Linked DNA regions of Lepisosteus oculatus. The protein of the gene in region 2 purifies or fractionates together with the protein of the main gene of each other region. This does not show direct contact. Links are inferred from orthologs where the notes say so. Each region holds a gene or a part of one and is shown on either strand. Other genes may lie near its edges.

What was found.
Region 1: the proteins of ciao1 (region 2) and narfl purify together in Homo sapiens (affinity purification with western blotting; 3 studies listed by BioGRID and IntAct, with this or other methods). This does not show direct contact. The link is inferred for Lepisosteus oculatus from reciprocal best matches to the Homo sapiens genes CIAO1 and CIAO3.

What each region holds. Positions count from the first base shown.
Region 1 is NC_090714.1:11,350,636-11,361,141, forward strand, and holds the start of narfl (cytosolic Fe-S cluster assembly factor narfl), read right to left. Parts: upstream 4,734-10,506; 5' UTR 4,694-4,733; coding exon 4,628-4,693; intron 2,383-4,627; coding exon 2,287-2,382; intron 1,822-2,286; coding exon 1,678-1,821; intron 582-1,677; coding exon 452-581; intron 1-451. Other genes in the region: hexosaminidase D, read right to left, coding at 6,422-6,605, 7,187-7,276, 7,657-7,755, 8,786-8,864, 9,243-9,325, 10,442-10,506.
Region 2 is NC_090697.1:70,187,272-70,197,780, reverse strand, and holds the start of ciao1 (probable cytosolic iron-sulfur protein assembly protein ciao1), read right to left. Parts: upstream 4,646-10,509; 5' UTR 4,367-4,645; coding exon 4,228-4,366; intron 3,707-4,227; coding exon 3,558-3,706; intron 3,427-3,557; coding exon 3,315-3,426; intron 2,772-3,314; coding exon 2,683-2,771; intron 1,906-2,682; coding exon 1,704-1,905; intron 1,104-1,703; coding exon 1,016-1,103; intron 665-1,015; coding exon 430-664; 3' UTR 1-429. Other genes in the region: tmem127 (transmembrane protein 127), read left to right, coding at 5,561-5,804, 8,039-8,203, 8,462-8,772. UniProt on the Homo sapiens protein: Key component of the cytosolic iron-sulfur protein assembly (CIA) complex, a multiprotein complex that mediates the incorporation of iron-sulfur cluster into extramitochondrial Fe/S proteins.

The DNA.
Region 1 (10,506 bases), on a different chromosome or scaffold from region 2:
GTGCAAAATAATACAGCGTTATCAAATAGTGCAACTCAATCAAGTGCAGTTTTATGTCCAAGTTCAGAGTTATGGTGTATGTAGTGGTGTGGGAGTACAGTCGTTGTGTGGTCACAGGAAGAAGTGAGGAGAGATCATGGTTTGGTGGCTGGGAGTTGGGGAGGTCACCAGCTTGACGGCTCTGGAGAAGAAGCTATTTCGGAGGCTTGCTGTTTTGTTTTATCTGCCATTATTACACAATCTGTACCAAAATCACTTGCCTTCGGCCCCGGTGCTATAAATAAAGGCACAGGCATACTGATATGCCAGGGAGTACAGATCAGATTAACCATAACTAATCCAACTGAAAAAAAGAAAAATGACTTTTATGATCTCCTGATGCCATTAACTGGATGCTCATCCACACTGATGAGCACAACCCTGTGGCCTGCTGGTCTGTCCACTTGCTCACCCAGGTTCTTGAAGAAAGACGTCAGCCTCCTCGCCGTGTCCGAGCTGCTCAGGTTGAAGTGGGCAGCCAGGGACGCCCTGGACTGGGGCGACACGGAGACCACCACCACCTTCTGCGGAGCACCCATCTGCTGTGAGACAGAGATCATGTCCAACCTCAGTACGGGTCCCATTCCCGGACAGCACAGTTCTGCTGGGCCCAGAATATCATCCACCCCAGCTTAGACTGGAACCCCTTCACACACTGAGGGAGCAGATCCCTCAGATAATCAGCAACTTTCGAATGAATTAGACAGGCACTACGAATCACTTGCAGTGGATCAGATGCTGCTGTAAACTTTATCTCAAAAAGCAAGAGTCCTAGAAATCCAATTCCTATGGAAAAACACAGACCTCCCTCTCTAACATGAAATATTTTTAGTCTTTTTTTCTGTTCTTGAAAACTGAAAAATGATGCCACATTCTGAATATGAATGACTGAAGTTGTTGTACGATTTTATTGTAAGCACAGCAGTTCAGCGCTGTGCATTTGTCTTTTTAAGGCGTAAATCTGTGGTCAGGTGAGAACACAAAACAAGCTGGTTAACTGGCACTCCAGACCTACTGCAGTACCTAAACAGCGCCAAGCTGGACCCAGAAATAATAATTCACCATGGCTTTGCAAGCTGGCGAAAAAATTGAACATTCAGAAATAAAAATGACGTGTTTGAATTATTTTTTGAATGACCAACTACTGCATGTACTTTGAGTCCTACGGTTTTCATTACAGTCTTGTAAAAGTCCAGAACCTCTATCTTGTCTCTTAAGCCCTTCCATCTCTGCAGCTGTGTGGCAGGTGAGTGGGGCATCTTCTCCAAGACGGCTGTGTGCTCCTGCTTCCTTATTCCTGTATTAAAGGCCTTTGGCAGCCGTTCTGTAAAATATGTAGCTCTCAGACCCTCTCAAAATCTAGTCTCACAGCCAGAGGAAAGTAAGAAAAACGAGAGGAGGCCTTTCAGCCCATCTAGTTAAAAGCAGATCCCAGAAATCTCATCCTGCTGTTTCTTGAAAGACACCATGGTATCCACTTCAACAACACAGTAGCCGATTCCATACTCCCACTACTCTTTGTGTAAAGATGTGCCTCCTGTTCTCATTTTAAATGCAATTCCCTGAAATGTCCTTTTGTGCCCACTGATTCATTTGTTACTGCATGGCACGGGTGTGGGCGTGCGCGCTGCGGGGAACCTTGTTGTGCTCCAGGGCCCTGTACAGCTCCTCGTGGCTCTGCTGCGTGATCAGGACGCTCTCCGCGGATGTGATGCAGCCGCTGCAGGCCAGGCAGTCGTTCAGCGTGATCTTCGCTTTCTCCAGCTTCTGCAGCCCACCATCCTGCCCAGAAACACACACACACACAGACGGGCAGCGTTACGGTCTGGGCAACCCAGGTAACCCAGGCAACCGGGTTACCCAGGTTACCCAGACTACCCAGGCTACCCATGGCCCGGCCACACAAGCCCTCAGGCAGCTCAGGCTGGCTGACACCATAATTCCAGAAAAGATCTCTACTTAAAACAAAGAGAAGATGCATTTCTGTTTCTCAGGGTCAGTCAAAATCCCCAACGACGGCAGCTTTGCATTATTGTCTTCGCAGCCCAACATCAAATCTCTAAACCTCCTCATAATGAGCAGGATTACTGTGGCATCAACACAGCCCCATCGCCAGACTAATTCATTCACTTACTGCTTGAAGGAGTGAAAGTAAAGAACCTCTTGTACTTGCAGGATTATAACTCGCCAACTAACACACAGCTGTCATATGTGAAATTGGTCTTCCTTTAAAATTGGTCTCCTCACCTGGTTAACCTGAAAGTAGCTCCCATCGTCTTCGATTTTAATTTTGGCCACCGACTTCCCCCGTTTCTTCTCAACCTTCACCGGCTTAACGCACTCCTGAGGTATTCACAAAAAGAGGCAAGGCCAGAGCTCAGAAAAACTCAACAACCAGGAAAAGCCAGCAGCCATATCACTCTGCAACTCACAACTGGCAACCCACTGAAGCTCAGCAGGTGTGAGCCTGGCCAGTACCTGGATGGGAGACCTCCTGGGCCATCATGGCCTCCTAATAATCCCCGTCTATGAATTGGCTTCATCACTCTGTTCTCCTCCCCACTGATAGCTGATGTGTGGGGAGCGTTCTGGCACACTATGGCTGCTGTTGTATCATCCAGGTGGGGCTGCACACTGGTGGTGGTGGAGGGGAGTCTCCATTACCTGTAAAAGCGCTTTGAGTGGAGTGCCCAGAAAATCGCTATATAAGTGTAAGCAATTATTAATGATTATTATTATTAAAAGTTTGGACAGTTTTTGAGCCGCTCGAGGGGGGGAGCTGTGCCGGCAAAGACACACACCTGTCACACCTGAAGACAGCTGAAACATTCCTGTTCCTCTTCTTCCTGCGTGTCAGTGAGGAACAAGCCCTGACTTGTTGGTTTTTGAAGCTAGAGCCAGGGAGCAAAGCCCTCAGTTGAGTGAGAGTATAACTGCCTGATACCCATGGCGTTACCTCACCCTCTGCACATCTCTGAGAGGGAGGTGCCCTCTGCCCAGGACCTCCAGGCGTGAGCTGTGCCAAGTGGGTTCAGAGTTCCCGGCCTGCTCCAGCCCTGCTCTGACTCTTTCAGGCCCTTCCCCCCCCAGTCAGGAAGAGCGAGCAGTGGGCCAGCCTGAGGCAGGAGGGTCCTGAGCTTTCCTCTGCCACCAGACTCTGGAGGATGTGCAGCTATCCCTCTCACAGACAGAGTACAGGGTCTGACCTGCACAGTGTAACTCTCTGGCGGCACAGAGATACCGAGTCATCTCTGGGCAGCACACAAGAAGTGTCTTATCACTAGACTCCAGGCTTTCGGGGCAGTTAACCGCTGTGAACAGGGGCTCAGACAAAACTTGTCCACTACATGTTAAACATGTGACGCAACAACAGAAAAAAAAAACACTCCCAACACACGAAAGGGTGTAACAAGTTAGCTACACCGCTGCCAACATATTCCGGAAGACAAGCGCTTTATGCTTAGAGCAGAGGAGGGAGTCGAATTTCAGCGGAAAGCTGCCTGGTTTAATCTTCCTTGGCAAGGTGATACTATACAACAGGGGTTTGAAAGCCTCAGTCCTAGGAGTCCAGATGCCAAAGTTGTTTCTGCGCCTCCTTAGTTATAAACAGCTCTGTACTAGAAAGAAGTGATTGATCTCTGCATTTAAAGGATCTCACAATATATAAAACACCCAGAAGCCAACAACTCACCCTGCAGCCTGTGTGGGTCCTAATGACCCAGTATAGTAATGGTGTAAAACCTGAGCTCCTGACTCGCTGTGGTTAGTAAAAATCCCAGGGCATTTTTTCCAAACAGTGAAGGAGTGTTAACCTCAGTGTCCTGGCCAAATTTCCTCCTGACTTGACTTCGTCACTCTGTTCTCCTCCCCACTGAGAGCTGGTGTGTGGGGAGCAGACTGGTGCATCATCCAGGTGGGGCCGCACACTGGTGGTGGTAGTGGAGGGGAGTCCCCATTACCTGTAAAGCGCTTTGAGTGGAGTGTCCAGAAAAGCACTAAAAAACTGAACTGGCCCAACGTAACAGTTATTTCACACTGGAGTTATACAGCCCTGCTACATTAGCTAAGGTGACACAAGAAAGAAAGAGCCTGCTCTTGAAGTATCTTATTTAAAACCAGTACTATCACATCACACAATGTCCTCGAAAGCGACTTTGCTTTTATTAACTCGAGAGGTTTAACACAGAAATTACGTTGTGTAATCCGAGATGCCAGCAGGAATAGGAAAACTATTTTCACAAGTAAGACACAGCGGTTTGAATTGATTCGTCGAAAGCTTGACAGTCGCACAACCCTGCTAACGTCGATATATAATATGAAGTTCGGGACCAGATCTCGTGTTAAACAGGTTAGAAAACACATAATGGTCCATTCACATTTATACCAGGGAACGTGTTCTGAATGTCGGGAAAAAAATATTTAACCTTATACCTTAAATTTAACCTCAACAATTTCACTTTTGCGGTCTATGTTCCTGTAAAAAAAAAACCCGGCGAGAACTGATTGCCTTCCTCCCATTCGAAGAACTGGATGAATAAAAAAAACGGACTTGATTCCGACAACTCAAATTTTAAAAACGTTCTCTTACCTGGGACGGAGTAATAAAATCGTCCAGATCTGTCAGCTGCAAAACTCCACTAAAATGAGAAGCCATCTTCCTGCCACGCTGCCGTGCGTTGGTTTGTTATTTTGTAACTTGGAAACACGATACGTACTGTACGTTTCGTGCCGTACTGTCGCAAAATTAACACTTGTACCTCGGATGTCCTTCAGAGGTCGCAGTTTCTTTGGCGTCAAGGTAAGCGGTTCAAGTGGATTAGTGTCTAAAACGGCTGACTATACAAAATATTTTTACGCACGGCTCAGTTTAGAGCGAAATTCGCTTACATTATATTTATTATTACATCACTAGAAACGCCTTTAATTAGTTCAAGGGTTCAAAAGCAGGTGGACAGTTCCATTCGAAAAACATTCAAAAAAACTACTGTGGTTTTAAGGATCCAGAATAACATTGAAACTGGAAATACTTTTACGCAGCCTACACCTAGCAGGACTGCAGAGGCAGGCAGACATTCCCTTTTGTGTATTTGTGTTCATCTTTAATTTTAACGCAAACAAAAAACAAATCGTATAACATACAATATCATTATCAGATTTGCATAATTGACCAACCAAAACACAACGGAGCACAGCGGGTACTTAGCTGTTGTCGTTCGTGAAGCGAGGAGCATAATTGGACAATCATTTTGACTTTTGATCTTTAATATTGAACCATAATGGAACATACAGTGTCAAACTCAAAATAAATCAGAGCTGAGAACTTAACCTGGTTACCTTGTGCCCCTCTTACGATCAAATCAGCCAAGTTACACAGTGGAACAGAAAAAAAGAGACTCAAAATATTCTAAACATAAACCTCCAGTTTATTTCACAGTTATTTATTTGAACTCAGTGATTTTCAGGCTCATAGAATAAATGACTTTGAGTATCATGCCCCTGTTCCAGACTTTTAAACAGTTTTCTAAGTGTGCTACACAAAACATAAATTCTCATCACTATTAGGTTTTATTTTTTTTTACCAGATCCGTGTTACATTTTATAATCAGAAGGAATAGCTCTATTTTACAGTAAGAAAAAACCCTGAGCTGAAGTAAGAGAGATAATGAAAGTACTTTTCTGAGGAAGCTGGAAACAGAAGAGACCCATGCTTTAAATGTTGTTGTTTTTTCCCCTAGAGAACATATTTACTTTTTTAGCAATATCAACTTTTCTAAAAGCAAAGTAAAAAAACTGCAGTGGCAATGCAGTGATTGTAAACTGCATGGAAAACAAAATTCCCGTTGAAGTGCTCAGGAATATTGGATTGTATGCACCCCCCAGCCTATTGACTTCCTTGCACCAGGAGGCTGTAATACAAGGAAACAGAAAATATCCAGGGTTACAGCCCCCTCTTCTCTAGGGAGCTTCTGGGGTTTATAAATCAGGTAAAAGTGCAGTGAGGAATGGAGCCCCCGTCAATCCAATAGGGTTAGTTAATTGGCCTTTCTGATCCGAGTTTAGATCTTATGACAGAGGCTTTGGTTTCAACAACGAAACTCTAGGGTTGTCTTCAATATGTACATTATGTTCTTAATAAAAAAGAAGTGATCTTTTAAACACTCTGTGCCCTCTGCCCCTATTAGGTGTCATGAAGTGCCACTGGGGGCACGTGCACACAGGCAGGAGGGCAGAGTCTCCTCCACCGCTCTCCAGCGCCCCCTGTCCCTCTCAGATGCTGGGCAATGGAACAGGAGCACATGGTCCAGCCAGAACAGTCCGTCTCTACGGCCCGCGGCCCCCACCCACCACCACCACGTCCGGTTCCGGGGACGTCCTGCTGCCCTCAGAGGGGTTTTTGGCCGCCCCTGCTCTTGATGACCTGCTCGAAGTCGGCGGCCAGCTCCCTCAGCTTGTCCATGTGCTCGTTGACGTTCTCCTCCATCCACTCCTCCACGGTGTCGGCGAAGTAGATGGCCTCCATCTGGGTGCGGAAGTTCTGCAGGTAGTCCTCCCACTCCTCGAGCAACCTGCGCCACAAGCACAGAGCCCCCCTGAGCCACGGGCACGTCTGCCCCACTGTACCACCCAGATCCCTCCCGAGACTTCACAGCCACAGATCAGAGCTCTGTTTCCAAATAACAATGAGACTACAGTGCACCTGCATTAAAGAGCAACTGCAACGCAGTTTTTACATTTCAGGGCTAGAAAGAGTCGACACTAAGGGGCGAGCGAACCACTGACAATCAGGTTAAACAGCTCAACCTCAAATCACCAGACACTTGGAACACTATCAGTTTGACCACTGAAGCATGTGATGTGTGCAATTAAGCAGAAGATTTATAAGTACATTACTATTGGCCAGGCTCAAGGACCCCAGCTGGACATTCCTGAGGGAAGGAAATCAATTTTCTAACTTGATCACAACTCACATGTTTACCAGGTCTTTCCAAATTGAAAATGTACAGGTGACATATTGCATACAGCCTGCTACTGTAGATTGGGCCATTCTTGTTTCCCTGCTGTAACCCTCTTGTCAGACTGCTGAGCAGTTCTCAGGTCACAGTAACAGCTGCTCGAACTGGCCAGTCTTGAGACCTTCTTGACTTACTTGCTCATTTTGTCTTTGAAAAACTCCATGTTCCGAGGATTCCCAAACTTGTACTTCCTGTGGTAGCGGGAGAACCAGCCTTTCAAGTGTCTGTTGGAGAATCAATGAGCGCATTCAATTGAAATTAATTCATTTAAAGCATTTTAAACCGACGAGTTTAACAGCGGACTTCTGGATGTACAAAATCCATCAGAAAAACAAAATAATCTGTTATTTTAAAGCAGGTTTCTTTAAAACAAAACAAGGTTCACTGTTTGTCCGTCTTAATTCTATCCAATGCTTCAGCCCTTCATTGACAACAGGGGAAATACCCCAAGTAAAATTATTATGCTGGGATTATGACTACTGACTTCCTTACTATAAGATCTTACACAGAGGAAGTCAAGGTGAGTTTATCACTCTCATCACCAGGAGCTGAGCTCTGAGCTCCAGAGGACTGTTTTCAAACTAAAACTGAAACAGCAGCTCACTGGTTGTCAAACTGTTGGTGGATCTGGCTCTTCAGGTTCTCTCTGATGTGCAGGACCATCTGGTACACTTCATAGCCCGGGAACGCCCCACCCCCTTCGCTGCAAATAAAAAAAAAACATATTTTTAGTGTTTTTTGTTACGAAGCACCTGATTTTGAACTCTCCATTCGTGCATTTTCAAACTGCAGCCCCAAACCCTGCAACCTTATGGGTAGGATGAGGAAGTTCAGACAATCCCCCATTCTGCGCTCGTCCTTTAACACACCACACACACCAGAGGGTACTGGAGGGCCAGTGTGTGCGGGGGGGCCACAAGGGGGCGCTGTGTGTAATCCCACCCCAGCCTAGGCAGAGCTCAGCCAAATCGCGTGCCGCCGCATGGGAGATCCTGGTCACAGTCAACTGGACTCGAACCCGTGACACGTAGTTTAAAGAGCTCAACCTCCGCTCGGACCAGTGCCTTTAATGATTGTGTCACTCAGGAGCCTGGACGGTGTTCATTTTGAAGGGTACAGAGAGGACTCCGATTCACCTTTGGGTGCAGTTTGCCTAGGAAAATCATAGGCTGTCCCTGTCTTGACAAAATCAAATCAGACTCGTGTGTGGTTTTTTTTGGTGCTGCAGCACATTCACATACAGTGATGGCAGAAAGCAGAGGTTCTGCACCTGGAATTCTGGCCATCTGCCATGTCCGGAGTCACCCACAGCTCAGACACAATCTGAAGTCTTGTGTGCTCTGACTCTCTTACATCACCAACAGCACAAGACCTCAGGAAGAGGGTTCTATGACCTCAGATGTGGATCAGTTTAATCCTCCTGCACAGGCCTCAAATGCTGTTTTCAATATCAGTAATTCAACAAAACAGGCTCGACTGTTTGTTTGTCTTCAAGGAGCGGCCTTGAGGAACTCTTATCACAAGATCCGTTCAAAGACAAAACAATTTACTGTCCAAAACGTTCGTTTTTTCTGCAGCTCTTCATAATCCGAGCGCACAATACCATAGACACACTGCCACGTCAACCTCATTGGTATGGACTCCACCTTCCAAAAGCAACTGGTTCTCTCTGAAGAGCTCAGGAGCAGTCTGACACACCTGACAGCAGTATGATGGAGCAGAAATCTCCTTACCAGAGACTCTTCTCCAGGTTGATGTTCTTGCAGCCCAGCATGTGCAGAACTTGCTTCTTCGCCTCTTCATTAAACCCACCTGGAGCACAGTTAGGGGGGAGGGGAGGGGGGAGGGGGGACAGATTAAAGGCAGATTTCAACAGCAGATGCACACATTTAACTAAAAGACAGTGTAGAAACTACCAACAGTGAGAAAAATAGTGGTCACAGAATGGTTACAAGCCATAATGTCTTAATATTGTAATTATTAACAATTCTGAAGTGGTCTGGACATTGTATTAAGTGCCCTTCTTAGGATCTCAAAACCCAATAAAATCTGATGGTACATATTTCAGCACCACAGCTGGGAACCCGGCTGCAGGTATTCTGTATTAGATATTTCCTCTGGTTAACACTACACAACAAATTCAGTACGCTGACGTCACTCCCAGAATCCCCCTCTCTCCCCCAGGCTGACCGTGTGCCAGGCTCTGAAGACACACTGCCAGGGATGGGATGCCCACAGGAAAGAGCTCACACAGCACGGTGAAGTGGTCGTACCTGTAACACACAGCAAAGGCAGCTCAGCGTCTTCAAATCAGGCCAGTGTTTATCTTCTGCTTGTTATAAAAAACAAACAGAAAATCCTCTTAAGAGGGCCTGCAGTCTCCCAAAAAATGTAATAAGTCTCACGTAGGTCAGTGTTTACCATGTGGGTGTTACAGAGAACATGATCATTGCCCACAATTACATTTTCTTTTCTGATTCTCACTGGGTAACAGGACTGGAGGCCCATTAAGGTGTAAAATCACAGGAATGCAACAAGTTAGTTGTGATTTTATTGCACATCACCAATCCCTGAAGCAAAGGTTCTTCAGTAACACATGCACCTGTATAAATTAGTGCAAATGTGAGGCACATTGGATAAATTCCTGAACAGATAACTTAATAGTGGAACAATAAAATTACGTTCACCTCAACCACACTAGTACCTGAAAAAGTTGAACATTGTGGCGTTAATTTTCAAGGTCTGGCTCAAATGAGCCTGATTCCAGTCACATGCTTTTGGTTCTGGAACAATATACCATATTTACTGGTATATAAGACACATTCTCACACCTCAAAAAGGCTTTATAACATCACCCTGCATCTCATATCCCAGAGTTATAGGGTGAGGTATGCCGAGGTGCTGAGTGTATGAATCCATAATCAGTAGTAAAGGTTACCCTGGTCATACCACAGCAAATAAACTCTTATACTCTATTTAAAAATCATTTTTGTGTGTACAAAAGTAATAATAAAGATGAAAGATGTGTGGAAGACTTTTTTATATTTGAAGACAAGTAAAACTTTTATATTGTTTTCCATGCTGGTAGGAACATACACATAGCGTATCTTCATTTCATGAAACACTGAAGTTTTCTTTTATAAGGCTAAGTGTGAAATGTGGTAATGACAATATACAACTTTTCTGTTCTGTCACTGTAGTATTAAATATATAAAGTACTATATATTCACCAAAATATTTCTAACACTTTCTATAACCGTGGTGCGTCTTATACACTAGTAGGTATTATACACCAGCAAATACAGTATCTTGTAAGGACCTATCAAACATGTCTAGCAAGTGTCCCACAGTCCCTGGCACCCAGCTCCACAGCCACACCCCTCTCATACCGCTGCCAGCCTGTCAGCGCGATGCCCTGGAAGTGGATGGACGGGTACTTGGGCATGACAGCCAT
Region 2 (10,509 bases):
CCGCGCCGGATTGTCATTTTACAGTGCCATTATCATCAGTTAAAAATTAACACACATTGCAAACATATGAAAAAGCGCTCGGGTTGGTCCTTGCTCGTCTCCCTTTCAAGACCAAAAATATCCTCACAGCAGTAACAACTCAGAAAAGCCTGGTATGCCAAAAATGTACAAGAGAAATGAAACATACCTGTGCTTATATAAAATAATATTCAGATGATGTGATCTTCACACAGATTTCCCCCAAATCAACCACTTTCACCGGATTGCAAAACTAAAGTAGCCTAGTTTGTGTATTTTTTTTAACACTGAGGCAAACGGGGAACTGGAATTTCCATCAGTGGCAATTTCCTGTTAGTGCTGAATATGCTCGCTGAAAGTATCTCACTGGTTGGTTTTTATTGGATCCTGCTTCACAGGAGGCCAGCCCCATCAGGCCTGGGATTGGTAGCTCCAGATGCCAATCTCCCCATCGTCACTGCAGGAGGCCAGAAGCCCCGCCTCCTTGGGGTTCCAGGCCACACAGTTGACATCCTGTGCGTGGGCCTTAGCCACATGGCCCATCAGGGAGAAGGTGGGCTGGTGGGGGTCGGAGGAAGACTCCTCCTCGAACACGCGGATGGCATCATCGCCGCAGGCTGTCGCCATGGCGCCAGTCAGGTGACACCTGGCAGCACAATAGAGACAGTTGTCTTATACCAGTGGTATACAGGAATTCTGGGAAATTCAGACTTCCGCCTGCACTGAATGATGGAGGCAAAAGTCTGTTTCTAGCTTTTCTGACATACAGTGGCTGTGGTCTAAAACTATTTTAAAAAATCTATAAAAGTTGCTATTTGGTTTTTAGGTCTAAATGTCTTGGCAGTGGGACTGGACTGAAAGTCTCGGGAAACAGTGGGAAAGGAACCTGTAGCCATGTGGGAAGATGGAAGTGCATCTTGTTCATCTATTTCCACTATAGAGTAAAACAGTGTTTGTTTCTCCCTTAAACAGTACCAGTTGGGAGGAGGAATCTTACCAGGAAATGTCGTAGATGGTGCGCGTGTGATAGCCGGACAGAGTGCAGATGCACTTCCAGGTGGGGTCAGTCCCATTGCACACCACTCCTGCAAAACACACACCGTTTCAGACCCAACACAAACCCTCCTCATCTGACATCACCCGTCGTGGCTCTGTCCTACTGTGGTATTTGCTTGGATTCAGCTGTTATTTTAATGTTATTTTAATATTTTAACGTTCCAATTTTAATGCAAGCTGCTAAACAATGGGCACATGGCAGGATACACCATGGGTGGGACACCAGTCGAGCGCAGGGCACACACACAGACTCAAACATGCGCACACACATGCCAGGACCAATTTTCACAGAAGCCAATTAGCCTACCGGTATCTTTTTGGTACTGTGAGAGGAAACCCACATGAGCATGGGAGAACATACAAACTCCTCACAGACAGCATCCCAGGTCTGGAATTGAACCCCAGAGCCCCAGCACTGTGAGGCATCAGTGCTGACCACTGCACCTCCATGCCATCCTAAGGCATTTAAGATTAGACCAAACTTGTAACATGCTTCAGCATAAAGAACAAGGGAAACCAGAAGGGTCCTTACTAATCCCCTGCAGAGGCACGTCAGAGTCCCAAAACCGAGATATGAAACAGGCTCATCTTTCCTGGACACTTGAACCAGGGGAGTGACTGCTGCAGACCTTGCTCGTTGCCGGGGCGATACTCCTTCCAGATGCGGACGGTCCGGTCATCACTGCAGGAGGCCAGCCGCTCGCCGCTCTGGTCGAAGGCCAGGCTCCACACGGTGGACTCGTGGCCCTCCAGGGTGGTCAGGCACACCCAGTCGTCATCGTCCTCGTGGTACAGCTTCACCGCGTTGTCGTAGCTGGCCGAGGCCAGGAGCTGCGTGGGGGGGGAGGAGAGAGAGACGCACGACAAGCTGAGACCACTGGAGTTTTCAACCACAGGGCCAGGAGAGAATATTCTAGAAAGGAAGGAAAGAGCGTCCCGGCTGCGCCAAAGATTCAGCCTGTCTACAAACTGAGACGCTTACACTTCACAGGCAGCTTCCAGCAAACAAAGAGAGGATATCAACTGCTAAGAGCTTAAAAGGAGAAGAGACCATTCACTCTAATTGGCAGCTAGTAATTCATGGATCCAAGGATCTCATTAAGCTGTTTCCTGAAAAAGCCCAGGGTTTCAGCTTCAATAACATGGCTGGGTAGCTTGTTCCAGACTCCCATCGCCCTTTCAGTAAAGAAGCGCCTCCTGTTCTCCATTTATATGCACTTCCATATAGACCCCTGGATTATTGAGTTTATCACATGTGACGGACAGCAGTCATTTCCCCACTCCGTCCTTACACCCTTACTTAAACCCTTCATTGAAGGGGCAAGCTGCTTTTTTCATTGTTTCGAGCTCTTAAAAAACCTCGTCAGGTGCTTTTCCTTAAGATTTGGCAGATACGTGAAAATCTATAATTTTCTAAATACTGGTGATAATAAAAAGGTCTTCTTCAAGCCTACTTCATTATGCACTGGATGAAAACAAGAAGGGAAGCAGAAGAGGAACAGGCTGTGGGAGAGACTGGGTCTGAGCAATCGAGAGAGAGAGGGGGATCACAGACTGCAGCAATGACAGAGCCCTACCCCGCACACGGGGAAGACAGCAGAGTCGTACCTCCTGCGTGGGGTGCCATACCACGTGCTTGACGTCCTGAGTGTGGGAGTTCACCACACTGACACACTCGTACTCCTCTTCCTCGTCCACTGCAAGACAGACAGCGGGTCAGCTGGCACTCAGCACCAGTCCGGCAGGTTTCCTTAAACCACTGTCGGAGCTCAGAAAAAAAGCCAGCCAGATTGTGGTCCTTCAGAAATCTGGTCTCCCACTCTCGTCCTCAAGACCACCAGTCCTGATGGGCTTTCCAGTCAATCAGTGGCTACAGACCACTAATCAAGTGATGCTTGATTACATAAGCCGTCAAATCACATGACAGAAGATAAGTGGAATATTGGCACTGCCTCTGGCACTAGAAGAAAATGACTAAACATATGGGAATATTTAAAGAAATCTCACTTAAAACTGTGTATTGACTGCAACTAAAACAACTGGAGTTTGTTTACTGAGGAAAAAATGTAAGTGCCCTGCTTATTTTTTCAAAATAAACCATACTTTTTACATCAGCCACCCTCCTCCTCTTTTAAAGAAAAAAAAAAGAAAGACAATTAACTTGGATTTAACAGCAGGGTTGCAGGTCCAACAGGTAAGCAAGCCCCAGCAGGGGTGAGAGGAGTCGGCGCTGTACTGACCTTCCCAGACCCACACACTCTTGTCTCTGCTGCAGGTAGCCAGCAGGGAGCCCGAGGGGGCCCACGCCACGCACTTCACCTCGTTTTCGTGACCCTCCAGAGTGGTCAGAGACTGTGACAGAAAGACAGACAAGACAGAAAACGCCCATTTTAACCGCGTTGAAAAAAACCCGGGTCCTTATCCAGGTAACTCCTCTGGGTCAGGACCTCTCTCTGCTCGGACAGGCGCTGGGCTAACGTTACCTCGAAATCGTCCTCCTTCTTCCGCCAAATGCACGTGGTGGCGTCAAAGCTGGCCGAGGCCAGGTACGTGCCGCACGGAGACCAGGCCACCTTCCGCACAGTCCGCTGGTGCCCGTCCTGCAGGACTGACTTGCACACCCAGGCATCACCTGCACAGCCACCGGAGGGAAGAGAGTAAGGGAAGAGCAGACATCCAGGGAAGAAATGCGCGGGGGAGGACGGCTGAAGAGCGTTCGCATTATCCATTTGTTTTAACATCATGCTTCTGAACTGAAAGGTAACGTTCCGGCACACATGCAGTGCCAGTTAAACTTGAGTATAAAACTTGAACTCTCCTAAATCAAGCGAATTTAAATGTTGCATGTTTACTGTCAGCTAATGCTTAAAAATATAAACGGTGAGCAGTTCCTGCATTGACAGATATATCCGGAAAGGTAGGTTAGATTCGGTATTTGTCCAGTATTTCAGATCACTTTTTACTCTTACATGCCTCAATTATGAACTGCACGTCAGTAACAGACACGTCGTGGCTCGATATGGGCACCAGGGTCTCTTTATTTTCGCGGCGCAGTAGGTCAGTTAAGCAAGCTGGCGCGCAGTTTTGTCAGCAGAGCTAAAACGACGCACAGACTGAAGCTTGAAAGTGCCCGCCGCCTGCGGGTGAACATACCTTCTCGGCCCCATATTCGAATGGCCCTGTCGCCGCCCGAAGAAGCCAGCAGGGTCCCATTGGGGTTCCACGCCACGTACCAGCACCTCGAATCTGGATGGCCGCTGAACTTTGTGACCAGTTTCAGTGAGTCTTTCATGATGATACGTATGACAACCGTGCTTTGGTGACCCCTGGTAAAAGCCGAAACTTAAAAATTGTACGCTAACCAACTACGGTGCTTCACAAAACGCTATTAACACAGCAGTTATCAGCAGCTGCTAATAACCGCCGAAGACAATCGCAGATTAACCGACGGGTTACACATCTACATTAATCCCTTTTCAGGAAATAACACCAATATTTTAATACATTCAGCCCCGAAATGTAAACTGTGCAAAAGACTTGTGCTTTTTCGCACACTCCTCGATTATGTCAGTCAGCCGAGGGGCACTCTGGGAACTTGAGTTTATGATCTGAAATAGTTCAGAGAAACTATGAAGCGGAGACAAGACAGTCGACTTCACAGATGTGTAGTGGCCTATTAAGGGTCAACGAACATGGAATTTACTATTACTGTTACTACGTTTCCTCTTAAAAGTCATAAAATACATTTCCGTTAGAAAGTTTGAAAATATTCAACAACTTCAACTACCAGAATTCATTACCTTCTTGGACGGTAGTTACGCCATCAGACGTCACTTGCTGTCACCTCCGGGAAACAGGAAGCACAGAAGGAGATAGGTTGTCTTTTGTTTTCCAGAGACAATTAGACGATAATTTAATGATTTTAGTGTTAGATCGGAACCGGGATTTTCGACACCGTAATTCAAGTCGATATAGACCCGATCCGGGTACAGAACTTTTGTCGATAAATACCACTACACAAAACTGTAGTTTACTACCTAGTTAAGTCTTCATAGGCCGAGAGACATAGTTCATACAACCAAAATATTCTGATAGTGTTGTTTGTTACTTAATGCGATTTGATTGCAGTGTTTCGAATTTTAAAATCCTTTTCTGGCTAATGTTTAGCGATTACATAATATTCGAATGAATTTAACGACGTCGTAAACGCAAGACCGCTGAATGTCCTAATCGCTGTAACAAAAGGAATTCTGTGCTGTTTCCCGGCCGGTGTATACATTAAGTATCCATTCAGATCTACAGTCTTAATATAGAACTTAATCCTTATCATTTCATAGTTGAATAGTTTACCATTTGTGTGTTCGGGTTTTAAGCCTGGCTCGGGCGGGATTTAAATTAACCACTTTTAAAAGCGGCGGGCGGTTGTTGTAAACCCAGACCGCCTTCTCTGCTAGTTGCCTGTTATTAGAGCACGTCTGTGGGCGACATGTACGCGCCACCGGGACCCGGGCTGCCTGGGAGCCGGCGAAGGCGAGGGCCGGGGGGGAGCGCTCTCCCGAAGCAGCCCGAGAGGAGCCTGGCCTCGGCGCTGCCCGGAGCCCTGTCCATCACCGCCTTGTGCACTGCGCTGGCCGAGCCGGCCTGGCTGCGCGTTCACGGGGGGGCCTGCCCGCGACAGGAGCTCGGCGTAGCGGATGTCCTGGGATATGTGGACCCTAAGCTGTTGGAAGGTAACCATCGACGTACTGCACCATTAAATCTGAGCTTAATTGACTTAATTAAGTATACTGTAAAAAGGCGCCGTCCTTCGGATGAGATGTAAAACCTGTTAATAAGTTCTTTATTGTTTGTGGAAGAAGCTTGTAATAAGAATCATGTATTTTATTCAGGGGCTAATGTCATAAATCTAGGTGTATTATGTGTAACTTGTTACATGTCATTTACATTTTAAATCCCCATAAACAACATGTAATGTTGTCCAACATGAAACCTAATGGTTAAACAGCTTTATCACTCTGCAACTCCCAGCTGGCAGCCCACTGAAAGTAAGGTGTGAGCTTGACCAGTACCTGGGAAAGCTGAGGTTGCTGCTGGAAGAGGTGTTAGTGGGGCCAGTAGGGGGCACTCACTCTGAGGTCTGTATGGGTCCTAATGCCCCAGTATAGTGATGGGGACACTATACTGTAGAAAAGGCACCGTCCTTCGGATGAGACAAAACCGAGGCCCTGACTCTATGTGGTCATTAAAAATCCCAAAGCATTTCTCAAATAGAGCAGGGGTGTTACTCCTGTGTCCTGGCCTTTACCAATCATGGCCTCCTAATAATATCTATGAATTGGCTTCATTATTCTGCTCTCCTCCCCACTGATAGCTGGTGTGTGGTGAGCGTTCTGGCGCACTATGGCTGCCGTCACATCATGGTGGTGGAGGGGAGTCCCCATTACCTGTAAAGTGCTTTGAGTGGAGTGTCCAGAAAAGCACTATATACGTGTAAGGAATTGTTATTTATTATTATTAATAATTTTCAGGCCTGTGCGCTGAGAAAGCTCATAGAAACTCTCAAACCTTACTATTATGAAGGAATCCTAAAATCAGAAACTCAATTTTTGCAATTTTAAACCATTTCATCCCAAAAGCTCTTTACACATCGGAGGGGACACACTTCACTAGCTGAGTGATGTGTAGCACCCAGTCTGTACCAGCAGCTCAGCCGAGATTTTACATCAGTAATGGAATTAGTGAGGACATTTAGGCAGGTGGGGGCAGCATGGGGGCACAGTGGTTCCTATTGCTGTTTCATGGTGCTGGGGTCTTGGATTCAGTTCCTGGGGTCACTTCTGTGTGGAGTCTGTATGCTCTGTCCGTGTTCGTGTGAGCTTCCTCCCACAGTCCAGGGACATCTTGGAAAATGAGTCAGAGTGTGTGTGTTTTCCCAGTGATGGACTGGTGTCTTATCCAGGGTGTATCTTGCCTTGTGTCCATTGCTTGCTGGGGTAGGCTCCAGCTTCCCTGCGACCCTGTATGGGATAAAGCAGTTAGAAACTGGACAGATGGATTTAGGCAGACCAGATATAGGCCAGAAGACTCTTAAGTGGAACTGAAATTTGTACGGAGTAATATTTGCAGTGACTCTTTCTCTGAAGATTACAAAGGATTTTGCAAGACTATAGCGTAGGATCTTGTGTTGATGTCAGTTGTATTACAATTTGTCTACTGTCATATATAGTGAGGCACTAAGTACGGAATAAGAGCTGTTTTTCACAAAACATTTAATACGTTTGTTTGTGGTATCACCTTGCCAAAATTCCCTGGTTTTCTTGAGAAATACGTTTAGGATTTGCTATAGCAGGAACAACAGAAACGAGGAAGAATCTTTTCAAAACCAGGAACTTGAGGTAGAGCATGACCAGCAATAGCTCAAGGCCGTGTGAATTTAGGCAACAGGCTGTGGTTCTGAACGACTGCGAGTCTGGAACTGAAACCTTTGACGAGCTTTAGCTGTGACTCATTGTGACGAGACAGACAAGGCATGGCCGTCTGCAGCTGCTGAGGGAAGTTGTATTCTGCCAAAAGCCAAAGTTGTCTTATCATTGCGAAAGATAAAACAGAGTGGATTGAGTTTGTATTTCTGCTCTCTCCTGCATTGTTCAATTGGTTTTTGAAAGAAATGAACATTTATATGCAAGTTATCCCAGATTTAAAGCAGCACGCCGATAGGAGGTATTTTTCACTTAGTATTTTTTTTGTATTGAATGAAATCTAGACTTAGTTCTATTCATCCAACTTTCTTAAAGAGAAAACTGGAGTTGTTAATGACTTGGTTTTGCAGACGGAATGCAGACCTACTGAGATGGTGCACTTCCTGTTTCCTTCTCTGTGACAGCGATCAGAACTGTTGTTGTTCATCCCATAAAAGAGAGAAAGACTAATTCTCCTCCGTGTTCTCTGTGCGTCCTCTGTACAGGTTACTGCATGAACCCCCAGACTGTCCTGCTGCTGCGTGTCATCGCTGCCTTCTGCTTCCTGGGCATACTTTGCAGCCTGAGTGCCTTCCTGCTGGACGTCTTCGGCCCCAAGCACCCAGCCCTCAAAATCACCCGCCGCTATGCCTTCGCGCACATCCTCACAGGTAGCTGGAGCTTGTGTTTCTGGACCAGCGGGCCAACACAGGGAAGAACCAGGGAACAAGCCCAAAGAAACTGCTAATGTCATCAGAAAGGAACAGTTGCATTACCTATGGGTAGTCCTGCTGTAACATCTTGTCTTACTTTCAAGGAGTGCTGAGTAAGATCTTGGGGAAAGTGTGCAGTGGTGATAAGTGTGATATGTCAGTGTGCCCCAAAGCTGTGTTAATTCTGCTTTGTCATTCGTCTCCCCTCTCCTGCAGTGTTGCAGTGCGCCACGGTGATTGGCTTCTGCTACTGGGCCTCCGAACTCATCCTGTCTCTCCAGCAGCAGCACAAGAAGTACCACGGCTCCCTCATCTACGTCACCTTCGCCATCAGTTTCTACCTGGTGGCTGGAGCCGGGGGGGCCTCCATCCTGGCCACGGCCGCCAACCTGCTGCGCCACTACCCTACGGAGGAAGAGGAGCAGGCCCTGGAGCTGCTGTCGGAGATGGAGGAGAGCAGCGAGACGTACCCCGCTGACTATGACATTGCCAATCAGTTCCAGCCCCCTCCTGCTTACACGCCCTAAACCAGGCCTGCGCCGCCCTTCGGCCACCCCCTGCCCCCACACACGCAAACACGCACGCACGCACGAGTCAGGGGTGTGCACCCAGCACTTTACCCAGCTGGCCTGTCCCAGGGGGTCGGATCTGTACTCCACTGCTCCTGCAATTTCAGCAGCTCAAAGAGGTTCCCAGACGACCCCACCTCCCTGTCTCCTCTAACACTGGACTTTGTTGTAGCCACATCTGTAAATTGATCATCTAACTGATCGGTCCAAAACCTTGGAATGCGAAAGAACTGGAATTGGAGGGATCCAGGTCACTGAGGACCTACCCATAGGAGCCTTTTCCTAAAGCTGGGTTCACACTTAGACATGGAGGCAGAAGTATTCCATCTGGTAACTACTGAATTAGAGTCGTTATGTAAGGACGGTGAAGATTCCTGCTGAAAATGTCCTTCATGTTCTGCAATTCCTAGTATGTTTTGCCCTCCGTGTGCCATTTTTGTCTAGACACAGCCGAAGAACAGATTATAGCATCACTGGGGTCCCCTGCCCTGCTACTAGACACCCCCGATCCAGGAAGTCTAATAGATAACCCCAAATCACCTGTTTCTGAAGACTGGCAATGTTTTAGTAATCATCAAGCAATCTACAGAGTGCTTGATTAAGGGAGCTTTTGATCTTCAGATTTCTAAATTATGTTCATGTAGAAAATAGTGATTCAATGCAGGTGATTTATTCCCCGTCTTTGGTGATTGACGACTCATTGGCTTTGGTTTACTGGGGCTCTCCAGGAGTACGGTTGGAGATGCCCGTTCTAGTGCAATGCTGAAATACAAAAAGTTTCAAGTTTCATTTGCAGTAATCTACACTGTGGAAAATCCTAGTATAGAGGGTCCATTTCCTGCACATTCCCCTGATTCTCTTTAAACTGCTCTAGGTGTGAATTCATCTTACCAGTCCTGTTTTCTTTCAGATTACACAATTTATATTGTACAATTCTGTACTGTGGTTCTGTACATTGGCCTGAAGTCTCGCTCAACACAGACATTCAGCCTTTGAAACAGTCAGGTCAGAATCCCAGTGGAAGCTGAAATGTATTATTCTGATATTTCACACTGGACTAAGAATTTAGGAAAAGTGCCAAAGTCTTTCTCCCAAAACTTCTCTGGCAGTTTAACATTTTGGCTTCTTTTATCATTTTCCCACAGTGCTTATATAGTACTTCATTCTCTGTGGCTCTGAGGTTGTTAAAGAAACAGGTTGCTAATGATATCCATTTTAAAAGTAGTATTTTGAAGCAGGTATTAATCATTTTCAATCCATACAGTGCAAATCACTGATATTTTAAACCGGGGGCCAGATGTTGAGGAATGTGTATTGTTAATCACCACCCTCTTTTATATAATTATTTAAGATTATTATGTTGAAAAAAAAACAGAACCCCTTGCAAAAAGAAGAGGGTTCAATTAAAGATTGTGTAGCGTTCAACAGAATTTTTTAAAGCAGCTGTATTATGTATATAGTCACGTGTTTCAGCCTTCTCACTTTGTTTTTGAACTTCGCAGTGCAAGAGACATTTGAATTGTGCCTGTGTAGTTTCTCTGTCTTGACTGTTATGCTTGGACAGCACTTTGTGGACACTCCACAGATTCCTCCAGCCCAGCAGAACCACACCTCACAGCCACGCAGCTAACAGGCCACAGGCCTTCCCAAGCCAGGACTCAAGCATTCTGTTTTACAAGAGTGAATGAGTGTGAA